Linked DNA regions of Bombyx mori. The protein of the gene in region 3 interacts with the protein of the main gene of each other region in a pairwise test. Links are inferred from orthologs where the notes say so. Each region holds a gene or a part of one and is shown on either strand. Other genes may lie near its edges.

Region 1 (4,088 bases), on a different chromosome or scaffold from region 3:
TTAATTTTGCGTACTTTTGCACATTGTGTTAATCATTGTTGTTATAAAATAAAATTAATTAATTTATTTTGTGTTCCTAGTTTATGAATTGTAAAAACATTGGTTATATTGCATTATATTTATATATATTTGTATAAAACGCGTGTTATGGGATCACACAAGTGCGTCATATGAAAATACTCCTACAACGTGTTTCCTATAACATGGAACCAATTGACTGTGTTATAGGATGGATTACTGTATAATAATTTATAATAGATATTTTTGATATTTTTAAACAATGGCTTGTCTGTTATACAGTTAAGATTATATTAATCAAATAACTTATAATTTCTAAAATTTATAAAAAATTTATTAAAGTATAACACTAAATTATAAATATATCTATAAACACATATCTAATTATATTGCATATATTATTGTATTTACTAATAAATATTTAAATACTTGAAGCAGCTTAATAACTATGCATAATAAGCATGCTCTACAGCTAGCACGGACATTTGGCTTATACTTAGATGTACTGTTGGGGTACCAGCGCATATATTTATGCCTTACATTAAACTAATGAATCCAGGTAATTAGTATTTATAAGTAATGATACTCCAATTAGAATCTTCTTACCTTGTTAATAAGAACATGCACCTTCACCACATTTGTACATGCATGAACAACATGAAATTGGACAAACATGAGATTCTCAATGTGGCGCAAGAGAGAGGGGGGGTTGTCCAATCTCAGTCAGGGTGTGAGTGGTTGTGCCTACTTACTGCTGGCACAGTGGACAGCCTGATGGTTTGAGGCTGGGGCGTCGTGAGAGAGCTGGCCGCTGGAGCGGGACCCACTCTCAGCAACTGGTATTGACCATTCTCTGTCTTTAACAACAAATGACCCTGCTGGCCCGGTTGTAGACTTGGTAGTGTTTGCAGCGTTATCTAAAAATTGAACGCTTCAATTCAATTTCACCTACTTCTTCATTAAATGAAGAGTAACAAGTGAAAGAATATATATTTTACTAAATATAAAATTGGAATGCGAATTCCTAAAGCAGGTCATTTGTTAAAATTTATAACACACTTCAGTGACATGACAACATTGACGGGACAGGTGACTGTGCAAAACTAACATGTATATGATATGATTATGACAAGGTTAGGATGGGTTAAGCTATTATTGATTACAATATTATACAAAAGCCCGAGTAGCACAATGCAATTATATATGACATATATGACATCTGAAATGAAGCTTTCTCAGATTCCATTAAACTGGTAAAGATTGCTTGATTTCATAAATTTTACTAATATTTTTATTTGTAGCAGTTTTATGGATTCCCAGAAAATTATATAATAAAGTTTAATTTATAAATCCATGTTGTATTAGGTTTATATTTTGAGGCATTATTTGATTGTAGGGTAGCAGAATTCAAAGTTAAATTTCAGCTTGTTTATGATATGCAAACCACTGAAAATTTGTTGAATCACCAGTGGGCCCATTTCCCATTGATAAAAGTTTAACAAGCAGTATTCTGTGTTTATGTGACAATTTGTGCAAATATGCTAAGAGTTTTAGATGACAGTGATGTTGCCCGAAGAAATCCATCCTCTTCATGTTTCAGTGAAATTTATTTACAGATAAGTGGGTATCTAAGAATTGTGTTAATATCTTTTGTACATAACCATAATGAACCATGTTATAACATTTATTTTTACAGCATAACATTATAATGCAGAAAGATCCTGTAGATTTTTTCTTTTTTGTTTTAGTTCCTCTATAATGTCTATTGTTAATTTGTTTTAGGACTGATAAAAAGACAATAAAAACAATAGAAGATTCTGATTTGATTAAATTAGAAATTAATAACATTAACTTATTTTAAGTTTAATGATTTTTATCTTTTACAAACATTTCAGAAAAGTTGCAATATACTATGTTTTGAATTTCCTAAATATTGTTTTATTTATAAAAGTTTTTTTTTTTTTGGTGGTATATTTACTTTACAACTTGTATCAGTCCTAAAAGTTTTAAATAAGTTTTAGTGACAAAACGCTTGGATAAATAATTAATGTATTAATATTTTAACATTTGAGACTTACGCCTGGTCCTGCAGCTCTGGTGCCAACAACTTGTGGGGTGCCTATCACTACTCTTGGTGATACTGTTGCTACTGACTTTTGTGCCGCAACTGCTGGAGCACCAGCTCTCATATTCAGAATCTGAACATTAGGGAGTATTGTGGGCTGACTCGAACCCAAGTTCTGAGTTGTTACAACTACATTTTGTCCAGGTTTGTTCAAAGTCATTACATTTGGTATTGAACCGGACATGCTTGAATTGGCTGTCATCGGTACTGTGACCATTCCAGACTGTATTCCCACTTGGCCCGAAGACGTCCCCTGTTTTAAAACTAAAGGAGGTTGCATCGCGTCTACTGACGTTATCAAATGATTTTGGGACGAGGACAACCCAACGAAACCGTTCGGAAGTGACTGAGCGGGAAATGTCACCGAATTTGGGTTAGAAAATGCTTGAGCCTGAGAATATATAACTTGTATGTTATCGTTACAATTGGTCACAGTACCACCCGGTGTCAAAGAGGAATAAGTACCAGGAACACTTGATTGGACATTATTACAGGACGTGCTATTTGTCAACGAGGGTCTGTGTATACTGTTCGCGGCAATACCGCAGCTAACTCCGCCTGTTGTATATTTATGACCACTTATAATAGAGCCCGCGTTCGAACTTAGCCCGGGAAACTGAGATGATAAAACGTTCACTAAAATATTTTGTGACGGCGCCGACGATACGTTAGTAACTAATTGGTTTTCGAGAGTGCCCACGATCGCGTTCACGGCTTTCTCGTCGACGTCTGTGGACAAAGCTTCCTCCAAAAACTCCGTTGACGCCATTTTCTACAAATCAGCGGATATGACACTGGACGGTTACAAACCGGTATTTACCGACAAAATGTGGTATCACTGCTTTTGGAAACAACTTTTATTTTTTACTTTTTAGATTTTTGTCTGTTTGATAAAAAGTACTTTTTTTAAGACAGCCCAAATAAAATCACTACCTTTTCAATAAAAAGAATAATTTTGTTATTTGACTGAAAATTGTACAAATGTTGGTAATACATGCTAAAAGTTGTCATACCTCAGATGACTATATACAATATTTACAGTTAAATACACAGGGACATAAAATAAGGTACATAAATAAATAAATAAACACCAACTTTGTGATCTGTTAAAAGTGTCCGCCAAAAAGTAGAACAGCGTCTTTGTACAAAGGTGAGCCAATTTACAACTGCAAAGGTTTCAGGCTAAAACTTATTCTTAATTCGCTATTCATAACTATATTTTAATTTTAAGTCTCTTTTGTTGTGATTGTGTTAGACACTTTATAAATTACGTTCTTATCAAATCCTAATGTTATAATACCACATTTTACTCCATCTAAAGTGATCGACATTCCTTAATGAATTGAATTATAATGAGGTCTAAGTCGCAAGTCGCAAAATTTTAGTTATGATATTAATTTATATTTTTGGAAAAATATTAACAAGCTAAAAAGCTACGTTAATATTTTTTAAATTATCTATACCAATATTATAAAGAAGAAAGATTTGTTTGTTTGTTTGTATTGAATAGGCTCCGAAACCACTGAACCGATTTGAAAAATTCTTTCACTGTTTCGAAGCTACATTATTCCCGAGTGACATAGGTTATATTATTTTTTGAAAAATTTAGGGATCTTACTAAAACTAAAACTCCAATAATGTAACCCAAGGTGTAAAAAAATTACCTTCAATATTCTTTCCATCGCGTGCCCTGCGAAAACTATTGATAATAGAATAAAATAATGTACAACTTTGTAGAACACATTATTTACAAAAAGTGTCGCAACAGCATATGTACTCTTATAGTTATTCCGCAATAAGTGTTCTTTTATTTAAAAAAAAATAAAACAACGTCAAATATCATTGAATTTTTTATTAAAGACCCGAGCGGAGACGGTGCGGGCCGCTAGTACTGTATAAATTGAATTAAATTCACGAAAATTTTAGTGCGTTTCAATATGATTAG
Region 2 (4,207 bases), on a different chromosome or scaffold from region 3:
AACCCGGGTTGACGTCATTCGCCTTATTGACACGTGTGACGTGCTGCGTACCCAACAGCTGAGAAAGTATTAAAACTATGAAAAGATTATATTCATGTCTATTTCAGATTTTTTTAAAACTTAAATGTAGTTTTAGACTCTACCTAGACTAGATGTATTGTAGAATCTAAGGAAAAACATTATTCGAGATACCTATTTGATATCTAAATTTTTGGTGCTAATCCATCCATCAAGTGAAACTGCTTGTCTAATTGTGATTGAAATAAATTATAATACTCACTGTGAAGCCTAATTTCTGGATTATTCTAGCATATTTTCTTGCCGCTAAACGGGAGTCTTCCTCACTTTTGGCACCAGTACAGACCATTTTACCAGATGAGAAAATTAAAGCTGTTGTTCTCGGTTCCCTTATTCTCATAATTACAGCGGCAAAACGTTTGGGATTATACTCAGCATTACGAGCATGTAATGCAATCTTCTTCAAATCTAATTTGCAGTCAAGATTTACAGTAGAGACTATGTTTCTGAAATGTTTTTTGAATGCAACTTTAAAAAAATATGGATTATTTAGACTTAATTTTAGTCAAAATTGTGATTTTTTTCTACATTAAAACGAGATTTCATTTTATTAGTTGGTTAAAGTATGTTAGACTTTTCATCTTTAAACCAAAACATTACACTCCATTGGGCAAGTAATATAATAGATATTTGAAACTATTTATTCAAAAATTTTAAATTGATATTTACTCAAAAAATTCAACCTAGGGCATGCTGAAATTAATTTTAATTTTATATCTTTAACACTAACATTCTGGCACTTCAAATCTCCCATTAATTATCGAATTAGAGAAAACGAGGAAAGAATCCAGGTAGCAAAGGCGCCATTTGAGTTGCTCTGCTCTGATACTGAATAATAACATATTATAGTGTAAGAATTCTGTATTTTCAGCAATCACTTTTTGTATTAATTAATGAAATTCCATGGGATATAAATTGAAGGGAAATTATAATTCCAATATTAACATTTGAATAGATGTTTGAAAAGTATAGTCAAAATATTGAAGAGTTCCTCAGAATCTATGTTCTGTACAGTGAACACTAAGAACCACACTATTGTTGGCTTGGCTGCCACAAGTTGCTTATTTGCAAATTTGAGTATTACTATCAATACAGTTTGCATTATGCTAAGTCCAGCAAACAAGGGCCAAATATATTATGAAGTTCCAAGCCAGTTACTTTTACGAGAAGGTATATATTCAACAAAATAACCAAGCTTACTGAATGATACTAACCACCATTCTTTTTTATTACTGTCCATCACATTTACAGTATGATTATGATCTTTGAGCATACTAAAATGAGAAAATTGGTTGTTTTGTAAATAATATCATACTGCAAAAATTTTACATATAAAAAAAACTAGTGTTGACTAAATTTGTCATCTTTTGATATAATTTGCAAGGTAGTGGCCCCTTTTGTAAAAGTGAAGTTATTTTAAAACATGTCTCATAATAATTAACTCAATCAAACTACATTTAGTTTTGCCAACTTAATGGTTATTTAGCCTTACAATATAAAGTAAACAATGTAAAATTGGCAAAATTATCCTCATAATAACAACATGGTCCAGCATAGCAGACTTCAATGGCAAAAAATGTCTTGTATCAGAACATGTGTAATTATTTGTGATTTGCCCTGAATTGTGAACCTACACAGGATGATAATACTAAAATTCTGTCTATATGTGTCACAAAGCAGATATTATTAATTTCAGCTTGGAGGGTGATGATACAAAAATGTCCTTGAAATTTCTTACTTTTTAAGATGGTGATATTGTGATGTTTATCACTTAGATCTCTGGTTATCACTTAGAACAGGTTATCTTTGACTTTAAATACACGTTGTTTTTTTTTAGCAGAATGAAAAATAACCTGGCCTCTTAAACTGTTTCAGATTAACTGTAATTTGAAGTCTGTGTGAAGTTGTGAGAAGTTGAAGATTCTTAAGAGACCCCACTAAGGGTCTAATAAGGTTCATTATACACATCACTGCTGAGTTTAATACTCTAAACTTTTTAATTTAATATTTTATTAAATTGATATTGGACAAATGTTTCAAATACTAACTGTAACTGTGGTAAAATTCCAGGGTCTGCAGAGAGTGGTGTCAGAGGAGTCATTGGGGCAGGACTAGCTTGGCTTAGCATTTGTTGACTTGATAGATTTCCTGCAGCTATCATCGGAGACATCATATTTTGCTAAAAGTTGATATAGCTGAATGTTAATGTTAAATTTATCTAGAAATTAAAGAGTGTTGAATTGTTGGTTTGGATTAAAAAGCAAATATGAAATCATTGAAAAATATTACTGTCAAAATAATTTAAAATTATAAATGGAAATTCTCGTAAAACAAGGACTTAAAATCCTTACTGGAGTTTGAGGCTGCATCATCTGTTGCGGAGTTGCATAGCTGGCTGTTGGTGCATATGTGTGCATAGACCTCTGTGGAGTCCCCATGATTGCGCCAAATCCTACAATTGGCGACGAACCCAGAGCGGCAAGTGACGGTTGTGCCTGGGACTGTTGCTGTTGAAGCTGTTGCTGTTGCATTGCATTAGGCAAGATTTGCTGGTCTTCTTCAGGTTGATGCAATGGTGTACCTATTCCAGGTATGTTATACGGACTTGGCAGCATATGATCCATTTTTCTTTCTTTACTTTCTTTATATGGAAACTTCGGGTGAGTGTTTTAGTAAGCGTCGACCTAACTGTCTATTTATTAATTGATAATGACGCTTATATCGTTCTTACTTTCTGAACAATATCACCTAAATTGTGAAATTATTTGCAAATTTAATGGATCAGCAAAACAATTAATACAATGAATTAAAACAGTTAAAACTTAGTTGATCAACACAAGTCACATTATGTAGGTATCTATATAATTCCTCATTTTTCAAACAAAATTCAGAACCAACATGTCAAAGTAAAATCATATTCGCGATAAGCGAAGGCGATGGAATGAAACTATTCAGCCTAGTCCATTATTTTGTGTTAAAAGACAATTTGGTTTGTTAAATCCAAAGTGTAATAGAATAGAATCAAATGTTATGGACTAGGTACCCGATGAAACTTAATGAGTGAGATGAAATGTAATGATGTCTCTGTAGAACCACAGGTAGAGATGCCCATGTAGCGCTCGTGTGCAATAATTATCTAGCGCTCTCCAGTAAGCGCGCGTTCAAAATGGAATAGGTACGTAGAAATGTAACAGGTTCATTGAAAATGTCAAGGCCGCGCCGGCGCCGCGGTGCACTCTGTTGTAACCTTCTTTTACATATTCCATTATTTGAAATATACTTCAAACACATTGTCATTTTTGCTACCTATCATTATTATATTTTATGCTATGTCTTGAAAACATTGTTTTATTATATTGGCGACGAGTTAAAAGAAATTAAGATGAACGATGAACAATTCGCATTATTTTTACATGCACAACAAAACCAGCAAGAGCAGATTTTACAAATCTTGAAATTGTTGGTACCAGCAGTTTGCAATACAACGGCCAAGAGCGTGACGAACGACTCTTTTACAAAACATGATACGGATAACAAGATAAGTATAATCAAACATTTCAATATGGATAAATACAATCCAGATACATTCAGAATTGACGATTACATTGATTTTTTCGAAAACAAATGCAAAATTCTTGCTATCGATAACAGCGACTTACAGAAAGATTTGCTTCTGAATTTACTAACACCAGAGATATTCCACGAATTAAAAGTAGCTTTAACGCCTGATTTCGATATAGCTACATACAGCGAAATTTGTAACAAATTATTAGACCTCTATCGCATAAAAACGACGAGGTATAGAGCCTTAACAGAATTTTGGAATTGCACTAGAGAACAAAATGAAACGATGGAACACTATGCAAACAGATTAAAAGGTCTTAGTCGGGATTGTGGCTACACTAATGACTTCCTGGAACGACAATTACGTGACCGCTTTGCCACTGGATTGAATCATCCAGATTTAGAAACCGACTTGAAACAAAAATGGCCTGATTTAGTTCAAATGGTAGACGGAATACCACGAGAAGTAACCTTCCAACAAATTTTTACAATCTCTCAATCAAGAGAACAGGCAGAACAAGACACACCACGAACAAGTATTAAAAAAATAAATAGGAGCAAAACC
Region 3 (4,345 bases):
CCTAATCCCTTATCGTCATTAGACATCTGTTGATTTTCTTCCATAGGCCTAAAATAAGTGTTATTAAATTTATTTTTAAATCATTAATTTAAGGATACATACATAAGAGAGTAAGCTATTGATAAAGAAAATGCTGTTTTAATCTTCAGTATATTTACTTGAGAAGTTTCTCTTCATCGTCACTTGCATATTGAGGTTCCTGACTGTCTGGAACCATCGGTGGTGTGTCACTGCCTGTACTTCCACTGCGCTTTCGACGTCTACGTTTTTTAACACCGCGCCATATTTGCGGTAAGCTGGACAGTTTTCCAGGTCCAAAAAGTCGAGAGAAAAGAAGTACCTACATGAATATTTATCAAATAAAATTTCATGAAAACAGCAAATAAATAACATTTATTAGCTTGAGAATTCAGCTCTTGTTAATATTTAAAAACAACATATTACTCACTCTATCTGGTCTGAAATCCGGAAACAGTTCTGTGACATCAACATTGGCATATTTAGATGGAAGCATTGCAGCCAATGGAGTATCTAGTTTTTTGGGTTTTTCTTGTTTGGGGGGTCTGTAAAACAATTAATTTTCATTTTATTTTAATGTCATATTGTATTTCTGTATTTACCAATATCTACTAAATTAAATTTTGATTACGAAATAGGCAACATATTGGTACTTACATATAAGCCATTAATTTGGTTACATTATATCATACTATTAGCAATTATGCAATTTGTGTTGTCATAAAATGAAATTCTCTATCTAATTGGGTGAATCTGTTCCCTTTTCATTCATAAGTTGGAAAAGAATATACTAACGGAACTGTCGAAGGAGGGGGCATAAGTCCACCATCACCTTCCATATCACCTTCATAGCCATCATCATTGGTACTCTGTACCTCTTGTTCTCCTGCAATATCAGTGTCCCTCCAAGTATCTTCTTTTAATTCCTCTTTAATACTCTGTGAATCAATAATCACAGGAACATTGCTGCTATGCACAGTTTGTACATCTGAAGTATTTTCAAATTTTATCACATTATTTTCTACCTGTAACACCAACATAAATTTATTTCAGAGCTAGTGATTAGTTTTAAAATAATGGTAGGTGTTTAGATAGAATAGATAGCTGTTTAATAGATTAAATACTATGCAATATTATAAGTTGGTTTGTGAAATCAAAAACATACTTTTATATCCTCTGCTGCATCTTCAATGTCAAAAAAGTCCACAGCCGATGGACTTTTCTCATTATAGTCTGATGAAATAAAATAAAGAATTAGATGTTTACCATTGCTGCAATTAATAATGTCTTCAGTTTAAAAGTTAAGTTAAAATTTCAGTTGACATAAGAAAATGTGAGATTAAACCTTAACAGTAGTTTGAACCATACTAAAAGAAACTACTATCTTCTAAGTTTCCTGACTTGGATTTCACTGTTGACTATGTATGATTTATGACTGAAGTTTGCTTACTCACTGCTAATCTATGTGCATATTCTCATCATAAGTGCATATTTCTCATAATACCATTGGTTATCCAATTCAAAACTTTTATATCAGCTACTTAAAGGTAAGGCAAAGGTTCTGCATATTTTTACTAGAAAATAAGCAAGCATTCCATTTCAAGAGTAGGTGATTTCGGCATTTGGGACTTCAAACTGATTTGCCATGTGATGTCTATGTGCATGTTACCATTTAAAAAATGTGCTAATTTACACTAATGAAAAGGTTTCTTAATATCTAATATAGGTTTGAAATATAAAAATCAACAACTATTTGTTTACTATTTTACTTTTTTTTATTTGGCTTTCATTCAATTACCAATACAGCTGTGCACAACCCATTTACTTTTTATATAAGAGTGACGGAGACCCATTTACAGCAGTGGGACAAAATATAGGCCATATTATTTCCTAAGGTTTATACAGTAATAATTTCGACACGAAACTAAATTCAAACTTAGTATAGTGGTTTAGAAGTGAAAACATACAAATAGAGCTAGGTACTTACATACTAATTATAAATTATATATAATTTCGAAAATAATTAAATGACAATAACATTTTTTGCAACATTCTTCTGTAATGAAGCAAAGCCTACTTTCTGCAGCAAGATATTCTGTCTCACTAGTACCTACAAAATCTACATGAAAATCAGGTCAGTACTTCGAGATTTGTGTAAACAGAATGAATAAAATGTGAAAATCCCCAGTTGATATTCTACGACTTCTTTTTAGCTTTACCCCTTTAATTTTATTCATTTAAGGTCCGTAGTGACAATTACAAACACATATTCTAAAGTATTATTACATTTACTGGTTTACTTTCAAGGCATGTTTATTCAAATGTAGTCAAAATTTAGACAAATTTAGTCAAATGTGTCGTCAAATGTAGTAACACACTCAACATCGACAATGCAGAGTCGAAATTGATAAAAAAAAACACTAACCTTTTTCTTCCTCTTCTTTAACTGGTTCCTCAACCTCCAGGACTTCAGAGAGCATAGACCCTAAACCTAAGCGGCTAAGCGATGATAACATTCGCTTCGATTCACCATCTAGCAATCCATCATCTTCTAACTGACCCCTTTCGTCAATATTACCAAACAAGAACCCGGTCAGATCCAAGCCTGAACGGCTGTGGTCACCTTGTTCGTCACTATCACACATGGTTCGAAGAAGTACAATACAATTACATTTCCAAGTTCATAATATTAGTTTAATTAAGATATGTATAATGTTTAATAAGGCTACTCAAGTTGCATTGCAATTTTTTTGTTTCAAATGGTATTATTCTTTATTTATGAGTGTTTGCTGTTTGCCTCGTAGATTTTGACATAGATTTTGAGTTGACATTAAGTTAACAGTAGTAGAAGTTCTATTTTTCTAACTGTAATGGCAAAGGTATCAAACCATAACGACTAATTGTTTATTTCCTTTTCTTATGAAAAATGATAATACAGAATGAAATAAAAAACAAAGTTGATTAATTTGAAACATTAATCAATTGGTATGAAATTAAATTAAATGAGATGAGATAACATAGGATGAAGTATAATCTCAGTAAAATGGTGGATAATAATTATTGAAACTTTTTCAGTGGACATTTTGGAAGATCCCGAAAAGCTACGTCCATCGGCTTTGTTTCATTTTCCCACATTTGTGCACTTTTACAGATACTAAAAGGTTAATAAGCCACCGTTATTACAGATTTAAACCTGAAGAAACACTAAATAGACAAAATAAAACAATTCACACAACTTCGCTTCTCGCGTTCCCGTCAAAAAGTCGAGACAACTATAAACTCCAGTATCAAAAATGTTTGATTGATTCACTAAATTGGCAAAAAAATTAATACTCATAACAATAATTTATTAATTATTATAATTTAAAAAAATAAGCCGACACCAATGTTCCTTGCCCAGTAAAAAAGTTTAGGTATAAAATGAAATTAAGGAATAAAATTGAATGTTTTGTGGAATTAAGTAAGTGAGATGGAATAAAGTAATAAATTTTTGGAAGAGCTCGAAAACCACATCTTAGACTTTTATAGAAACAATACGATTAAGAACCTACATAATCATCTGCCTTTATCTCTCCACTGCTGGATGTACGCCTCCCCATAGTCTGCCATAATGAACGGTCCTCCGCCTTCCGCATCCAATCTTCTCCAGCATATCACCGTAAGTCTTCGGTTCACAGGGAAGCGGGACGTTCAGCACTGCGCTTCCGGGTATGTGGTATCGGGTATCGGTCATTGGGTCTGCGATACGTATATCCGGCCTATTGCCACGTCAGCTTTGCTAATCTTTAGGGCTATACCGGTTACTTTGGTTCTTCGACGGATTTCCTCATTTCTGACTCGATCCATGAAAGAAACTCCGAGCATATCCCTTTCCATAACATGCTGTGTGACTTTGAACTTACGAGTCAGACCTACGGTCAATGTCCACGTTTGAGCGCCATATTATGTCATGACCGTTAGCACGCAATCGTTGAAGACTTTCATCTTTAGGCTTTGCTGGTTTGCTGAGTTAAAGATATGACAGAGCTTTCCATACGCAGCCCAGCCCAACTGTACGCGCCTATCAGCTTCCTTCTCGAAGTTGGCCCTGCCTAGATAAAAAATTTGGCCAAGATGGTGTATTCAGACACAACTTCGAGTGCCGCGGATTCGACAGAGAAAGAAGAAATAATATTTAATAATAAACCGAAAGAAATAATAAACAACCACATAAAATAAAATATCTCGCGTTCTTATCATTGCTGTTTCAATTAATTTCTTTAATTCTATTGCTCAATACAGTTCATAATTTAATATAAGGTAAGAGGCGAGTAGCAAGTTCGCAAGC

Evidence for each region.
Region 1: the proteins of Taf1 (region 3) and transcription initiation factor TFIID subunit 4 interact in binary tests that used the Drosophila melanogaster proteins (3 or more experiments, as listed by UniProt). The link is inferred for Bombyx mori from reciprocal best matches to the Drosophila melanogaster genes Taf1 and Taf4.
Region 2: the proteins of Taf1 (region 3) and Tbp interact in binary tests that used the Drosophila melanogaster proteins (3 or more experiments, as listed by UniProt). The link is inferred for Bombyx mori from reciprocal best matches to the Drosophila melanogaster genes Taf1 and Tbp.

Annotation. Positions count from the first base shown.
Region 1 is NC_085107.1:19,834,839-19,838,926, forward strand, and holds the start of transcription initiation factor TFIID subunit 4, read right to left. Parts: upstream 2,936-4,088; 5' UTR 2,913-2,935; coding exon 2,097-2,912; intron 936-2,096; coding exon 771-935; intron 1-770. UniProt on the Drosophila melanogaster protein: TFIID is a multimeric protein complex that plays a central role in mediating promoter responses to various activators and repressors.
Region 2 is NC_085118.1:10,751,573-10,755,779, forward strand, and holds the start of Tbp (TATA-box-binding protein), read right to left. Parts: upstream 2,916-4,207; 5' UTR 2,703-2,915; coding exon 2,430-2,702; intron 2,258-2,429; coding exon 2,127-2,257; intron 2,091-2,126; exon of another isoform or gene 1,954-2,090; intron 1,878-1,953; exon of another isoform or gene 1,775-1,877; intron 1,249-1,774; exon of another isoform or gene 1,111-1,248; intron 525-1,110; coding exon 281-524; intron 1-280. UniProt on the Drosophila melanogaster protein: General transcription factor that functions at the core of the DNA-binding multiprotein factor TFIID.
Region 3 is NC_085123.1:8,778,567-8,782,911, forward strand, and holds the start of Taf1 (transcription initiation factor TFIID subunit 1), read right to left. Parts: upstream 2,819-4,345; 5' UTR 2,664-2,818; coding exon 2,444-2,663; intron 1,252-2,443; coding exon 1,184-1,251; intron 1,044-1,183; coding exon 814-1,043; intron 564-813; coding exon 449-563; intron 341-448; coding exon 159-340; intron 49-158; coding exon 1-48. UniProt on the Drosophila melanogaster protein: TFIID is a multimeric protein complex that plays a central role in mediating promoter responses to various activators and repressors. Largest component and core scaffold of the complex.